Mus musculus: one gene and its partner. The protein of the gene in region 1 interacts with the protein of each later gene in a biochemical or structural test. Links are inferred from orthologs where the notes say so. Each region holds a gene or a part of one and is shown on either strand. Other genes may lie near its edges.

Evidence for each region.
Region 2: the proteins of Areg (region 1) and S100a4 form a complex in vitro, tested with the Homo sapiens proteins (2 studies listed by IntAct, with this or other methods). The link is inferred for Mus musculus from reciprocal best matches to the Homo sapiens genes AREG and S100A4.

Annotation. Positions count from the first base shown.
Region 1 is NC_000071.6:91,142,599-91,145,765, reverse strand, and holds part of Areg (amphiregulin preproprotein), read right to left. Parts: intron 2,278-3,167; coding exon 2,076-2,277; intron 1,433-2,075; coding exon 1,271-1,432; intron 1-1,270.
Region 2 is NC_000069.6:90,602,306-90,606,545, reverse strand, and holds S100a4 (protein S100-A4), read right to left. Parts: upstream 2,777-4,240; 5' UTR 2,740-2,776; intron 1,916-2,739; exon of another isoform or gene 1,788-1,915; intron 1,550-1,787; 5' UTR 1,535-1,549; coding exon 1,394-1,534; intron 807-1,393; coding exon 642-806; 3' UTR 501-641; downstream 1-500. Other genes in the region: S100a3 (protein S100-A3), read right to left, coding at 4,191-4,240. UniProt on the Homo sapiens protein: Calcium-binding protein that plays a role in various cellular processes including motility, angiogenesis, cell differentiation, apoptosis, and autophagy.

The DNA.
Region 1 (3,167 bases):
ACCTGTGTGAAGTTCAGTTCCTAGCACTGCCACAAAGAAAACGGGATGGCAACATAAACCAAGAGTCATTCCACACCCTCCCAGGGGAATCAGCTGAATGAAAAGCTGAATAAGCCACAAGTTATATCACTGTAAAACACCTTTAGTTCACAATTTCTTCTATGTCAAATAAGAACAATTTATAGAGGCTTTTTGCCTTTCCTAAATGTATTTGTATACCTGGCTTGAGGCTCTAGAAGAAATTCCAGGTGTGCAAAATAAATTTAAGCTGCACACCTAATGTCTTGTGCATAACAAAACAGCTCTTATGTGCCATTTTATCACCTTCTGATTTGAATTTAAGATAACAATAAACAATAGCAAGAGATAATTCCTGTATCCTGAAGAACAGCCGTGATGGATCGTGTACACAATCCAGTCGTTAAAGTAATTTACCGAGACCTAAAATTAGAATAATGAATCCACTGCTTTTCCCAAGCCCTAGAAGCAGTGAGTCATCCCAGAACCATGTGGGCCCTCCTCCAGCTTCCCCTATCCAGTGGCTTCTATCTGACAGACAATGCCATCCTCATGTACCCATCTGTGCCTGTGACCTAGAACAGTGGAGTGTGGGCATTCTTTGGTCCTGAAGCGAGGCGTGAGATCTGCCATTGCGCAGGGAAGATGCTGTGGGAGGACCACAGTAACAGAGGTTGTCATTGCTGCCTACGCCATGCCATTGGGAGGAAATGTTTCGCTTTGTTTCTCAATATGTTCCCACACTATGGTATCCGATAAGGACAAAAATAGGTCCCAACTGTCAGCCAGTGAGCACCATGGCATGGAATTACAAGCAAGAATGGTGCCTTGTACTGTGCGAAGTCACAGGTCTTTCCTTGGTTGCTCATTTTGAAGACCTTCGAGATTTGTTTGTTTTCCTTTTATGCCAAAGAAGTATATTTGGTGCTGTGAGCTTAGTGTGACCCTAGTTAGCTCCTCACAAGCTTTATGCTTACATTTAAAAATATACACAGATGATACTAGGGCATTTCTGAGTGTCAGAAATCACCATCATCAAAAATGGTAATCAAAATATCAATTTTTAAGCTAAAGACATCCTAATTCTGAAAGGTGGCTTTGTATATCATTTCAGTGGTAGTCAAAGGAATGCAAGGTTTGATTCTATTCTGCTCAGGGGTCACTTGCCACAAAAAAACTCATGTAAAATATGACAGTAGAGTCTGATAGGAATACTGACAAGAGTTCAGGTCTTAGGCTGTGATGTACTTACTGCACTGTGATAACGATGCCGATGCCAATAGCTGCGAGGATGATGGCAGAGACAAAGATAGTGACAGCTACTACTGCAATCTTGGATAGGTCCTTGTCATCCTCGCTGTGAGTCTTCATGGATTTTTCTCCACACCGTTCACCAAAGTAATCTTGATGACAACTGCAACATCATATTTCATAAATACAGGTGTTGATAAGGTTTTCTGCATCTCAAACATACTACCTAATGATACGGTCACTTAAGTGAACATAGAGAGGTCACGCCATTGTCTATTCTGCAAAGTCGTGAAACATAGAATACATTCTAGCTAAAGGCCTTTAAGAACAAGTTGTGATTAGTTTGGGTGTGGGTGGGATATTCCCAGAAGACACTGTGACTCATGCTTCTTGTTCTTTTAGGACCAAGCGATGACTTTGACTCCTGGTGTCACAGCTAATACATTCCTCTATCATTTAGTTTAGTTTTAGTGCGTTGAGAGGGTTTGGGGACATTAGAACAACATGAAAAGTTGTGTGATAAATACTTTAAGTTTTTTTTAAGGCTTAAAATATATGTACAGGCACATATATATATACATTGCATACATATAATATTTATAATAAAATGATACTGTGCACCAGTAGCCATAAAGCTATTTGTTACAGCCTTTAAGCTAAGAATCTTTTTTCTAGATTTACATGCTTATATTTTAATTGCCTGTACAAACATAATGTTGGCTCATGAAATCCTTGGTTTACACACTGGAAAAGTGAATAGTTTCTATTGATGGGGATTTCAGGTGTTGTGTAGGAAACAAACCTACTTGCATGTCACCACCTCCAGGTTCTCGATGTATCTGCATTCGCCATGAATGCAAAAGTTCTGAAACTTGGCAGTGCATGGATTCTTTTTCTTCTTATTCCTTCTGCCTTTTCCATTTTTGCCTCCCTTTTTCTTCCTTTTGGGTTTTTCTGTAGACTTTTCTCCTTCTGTCTTGTTTTTCTTGGGCTTAATCACCTGTTCAACTGGAGAGAAAGGAAGTTTGACAAAGTAAGATTAGATTTACGACTGCCCACGTTCTCTTTTCGTCTTCAAAATGATTTGGGTTACGTGAGACCCAGAAATCACAGCACTGAGAGCTACTTTGGCCTCATTAATTAAAGCAACACACACATGATAAAGCTGCACAGAATAGCTCTATCGGGCAGTGCACAGTAACCTCTGTTGCATGCCACTTGAATTCTTTTACCTAGGTATGCCTGTAGTTAGATGTACTGGACCTCGCATGACATAGAGGTAAATACATAGTTCAGTGAAGACAAGACTCATATTCTAGGACAAGCAGCTGGAACCCACATTTCAGCTTGTTTTGTTTGTTTGTTTGTTTGTTTTTCCATTCTATCATGTTCTTTTGAAGAAGGACAATGCCATTAAGATTGTGGTGTGAGACAAATCTGATTTTACTTGCCCACACACGTCTCAGGCTCCCTGTCTTAAGTTGGAAGTTAGTGGGTACCGCTTGAGGTGGAGAAAGCTGGAAAGTATTTATTATTATTATTATTATTAGTCATCATTATTATTAATAATAACAACGACAAATACCTTCCAGCGGGGTGGGGGGCTCGCTGTTGTGTTCAATCTATTTAAAATAGCGTGGAAATATTTGTCCCTGATGCCTCAGACTGTCACCTCAACTTATCAGCTCTGGAGTCTTAGGACTACGAAAGGTGTGGCTAATTACATGCTAAAGGCAGGAAAGGGAAGGTGCATTTTGTTGTGCTGGTCCTTGACTAGAAGTGTATGACAAAGCATTTAGCAAACAGAGACCCCAAGAAGGGAAAACACCACTAGTCCCAAAGGGTTTGCAAGCACCCGTTGCACAGAACACAAGAGACGTGTTAATAGAAGGCTTACA
Region 2 (4,240 bases), on another chromosome or scaffold:
TGGCCTATAAATGTCAGGGCTGAGTGCCAGTCCACCTCTCCATTCTTCTCTGGCTTCAAGACTCCTTCCTCATGACTCAGGCAGGCCTGTTGTCTTCTCTCCAGACCCCAACCAGCAGCAGATGTGACCTTTAATCCCATCCCAACTTCAGTTTGAGCCCAGAGGCAGTGCTGGAGAGAGGAGGGAGAACTGTGGGCTGGCTAACAGCACACATCTGGAGCCTTTCAAGCTAAGCCTCTGGTGGTTTCTGCCTTTAGTGTTCCCGGAGTTTGCTCTGTTGCATATATAGGAGCACGTAAACACACACAAACACACACGCACGCACACATGCACGCATGCATAAGCACGCACACACAAATACATACTTGCAATGTACTCAAAATAAGCCACCCACCCCTCCCCAACCTTTTTTAGTTTGGCCCCCACAAAGCTCCAGGTCAACTTCCAGCAGTCTCTACCACAGCCCTCAGCCCATAGCCTCCAGTCTCTCAGACAACAGCTAATAGTTTCAAAACCTTTTATTGAATTTGCTCAGCACTGTGCACATGTGCGAAGAAGCCAGAGTAAGGCACTATGCTCACAGCCAACAGGGAAGATCCCCCACTGGCAAACTACACCCCAACACTTCATCTGAGGAGTCTTCACTTCTTCCGGGGCTCCTTATCTGGGCAGCCCTCAAAGAATTCATTGCACATCATGGCAATGCAGGACAGGAAGACACAGTACTCCTGGAAGTCAACTTCATTGTCCCTGTTGCTGTCCAAGTTGCTCATCACCTTCTGGAATGCAGCTTCATCTGTCCTTTTCTGGCAGTAGAAGAGGAGCAATTAGAAGCCAACTCAAACCAGATATTTGCCTCCAGTCAGGAGCTCAGGAAGGTTTGCAAGCACTCCTTGCTAGCCTCGGGGCTAAACTATGGGATGAACACATGGGATAGCTGGGAAAGGATGTGACCACATCTTCCCCGTGCTTGTTTTAATTATCTTAATAGGAAACTGTCATAATAGTGATCCGTTAACTAATATAAGGTGTTATTGAGAGGATAATCTGCAGGCATTTGTGTGCCTCCACGATCATGTCTTCACAAATAAAAACTCGATTTCTAGTGCCCATCTCCGGAAAGACAGCCCTGATCTAGGCTGTGGTTTCAGACACTGACTGCCTAATGTGGTTGTTTTGGTTTTCCTCTGCCTCTTCAGTTATCTTCATCCTAAGCCTGTCTCAGCTGGGGGCTAGTGTGAAGTAGGTGGTTCATTGTGGTTCCGTACCAAGCACCCAGAGCAGGGATATATGCCAGCTATAGCTAAGTACTGCATCAAGACTAGTGCCTACCAGCCCCAGCCTCCTCCTGCAGATGCATCACGTGTGCAATACACAGGCAGGACCCACTTACCCCCAGGAAGCTAGGCAGCTCCCTGGTCAGTAGCTCCTTGAGCTCTGTCTTGTTCAGCTTGAACTTGTCACCCTCTTTGCCTGAGTATTTGTGGAAGGTGGACACAATTACATCCAGGGCCTCCTCCAAGGGTCTTGCCATGGTAACCGTTGAGACCTAAGGGCAGGAGACACAAAAGTAACATTCTCCAACCCACGCCAACAGTGTGTTGAGAACTGGATATGTGTTGCTGAGCATGACCCAAATCACACTCATTCTGTCCCCATTTTAAGTGCTCTATCCCAGCCAACTCTCTAAGAGATGGACCTCACCCCCTGGGGAGATCAGAGGAATGGGACCCATTGATGGCAAGAAGGTCACATGTGCTCTGGGCTCTGAAACCTGCAAAGCCTACCCCTCAAACTCTGGAGATCCATGCCAGCACCTTTCTGTGCCTCTCAGTCCTGGCCTCAACAACAGCAGTTTTCCATCAGCTTACTCACTCCCACAGCTCAACCACAAGCACCAGGCCCTGGCCCATTCTTCTCCCTCCCAGCGTTGGGCGCGGCTGCTGGCTGCCTGCCCAGAGGCAGACAAAAAAAAGTGGAAAAACCCCAGCTGCCTAATAGGAGTAAGATGAAGTGGCAGAGGTAGGGATGCAAGAGGAGAGGGTGGGGAAGCCAGGCTTTCTTGGCCTAGGTGCTATATGTTCATAGGGCTATTAAAAATAAGACACACTACAAACACGAATGCCTGCAGGAGGGTGCTGGAGAGATAGCTCAGTGGGTAGAGGTGCTTGCCACCAAGCTCCAGGGCCTGAGTTTGATCCCCACAGCCCACATGCTAGAAGGAACAGATTGACTCCCACACAAATTGTCCTTTGGCTCCCACAATGTCGCCTTGGCATTTGCTCCAGCCCAACCCATACGCTCATACACACAAATAAAAACTGTAATTTAAATACTGTAAAACAAAAAGGCCTACTGATGCCTTCGCTTTGCTTCCTGTACCCGAGTGTCCACACACTGTCTTGTATTACCCAGCAACACGAGTCAGCATCCTATGCATGACAGTGACTCCCAAGCACCACCAATATACACTATAGCAACATGCAAGCCAGCCTCAGTATCTCAAAACCTCCGGGAGCTCAGATGTAGCCATTTATACACTTTTTTTTTTTTTTTTTTTTTTTTTGGTTTTCATTCTCGTGAAAAACACACACACACACACACATACATGAACCTCCACATCAGAATCTCTCATCTGGATTTATTAAAGACATCTGTTCCCCCAGCAGCCCCCCTTTCTTCTACCCTAGCCTCAGCCTCTAATGCCGCTAGCAGTGCTATCAGACCAACACAACTCACCAGACCAAGAGAGAGGAAGTGCTGAATAGAGAGGTTTGGGGAGAGCCCAACAATCTGACCTATTTATACCCTGCCAGGCCCTGCCCATGCAGAGGATGGGGGAACATGGATACTGTGCTCTTGCTGTTGGTTGATGTAGTAAATGTCATAGCACCCTCGACCAGCCCAGTCTGGGAACCAGGCTTCCTGCTCCCTCCCCAGCAGGCACAATCAAGTAGTGAGTGAGCTCCAGTGGGCACGGCAGAGACTTGGATGGGGTGGACACCACCAAGCAGCCACAGCTCAGCCAGAAGTTTAGGAAGCTTTGAGAACGGGCAACCTGGACATGAGGTGTGGGCCACAGGAAAGGAGATGGAGATGTTATGGGCAAGGGATAAGGAGCTGCCCTGGAAATATGTGGCCCAGGAACGAAGGAGGTGACCCCAGCCAGTGGGACAATGTCAGCACTTCCCTCCAGCCTAAACAGCTTCTTGTCACAATCAGGAAGACCCAGGATAGAGGCTAGCAAGTCAGGAGGGACCTTGGGACCACCCCAGGTATGAAGTAGGAGCTATACCTAGGAGGCCATGATGGAGTTAGGGTGGCAGTGTGGCCTGGAGGTTTTCGAATGGATGGAAGCTGGAGTAAGGATATTGAGGAATGACAGGAGCATTCGGGGTTGAATGTTCAGCTTGAAGAAGAGAGTTAAAGAGGAAATAGGTAAAAGGGGGAGTCAGGATTAATCTCTAAGGATAGGGTACAAATTCGGGGATTGAGTGAAGGTTAGATGGAGGTTTGGCTTTGGGCTCCCACAACCATACTCTCCTTGCAGCATCTGGTCAGAAGTACCTCCCAAGGAGCCCCTTGTCCTCCTTGAAAGTCCAAGATAAGGACTTCTATCTCAAGACAGGGGACAGAGAGAGACAGAGACCCTCCAGTCTCATCTGATAGGACACGTGTTACCCCTACCCTCCTGAAATGTGTGCATTTCTACAGGGCCTGACACCGCTTTGGGGGTCCATGCCTTCCATGGTAAGCCTCCTACCTCCAGTAGTAAGGAGCATAAAGGAACAAGGACTCGGTCCCAAGGCCCAGTGTGTCCCATCAGAAAAAAACAAAAGTAAGCCAAGAAGACATTTCTTTATTGGGAGTTGAGGAGGCCCCTGCCACAGCGGTCCCAGTTGTGTGCACATGGCTGAGCAGAGATGTTCTTCCCTTCCAAGAAGAGAAGCGGCAAAGGCTGGCTACTGTCCCACCCCTCACAAGCTAGACATCCCTAGGAAAGCCTCGAAAGCTCATGGGTAGCTGGGTGGGGTTAGCACATCAAGAACTTGGCAAGTCTAGATTGAAAGGGGTACCACAGAGAGAGTGGGAAGGGTGTGGCTACACACCCAGGACCACCTCAAGGACAAAGATGGAGGACTGGAGCAGACCCTGCCCTTCTGGGATAGCGTACACCTTTGGATCAGAGGCTACTGGGGGCAAGGAGGCTCAGGGGGGCACTCTTTGAAGTACTCGTGGC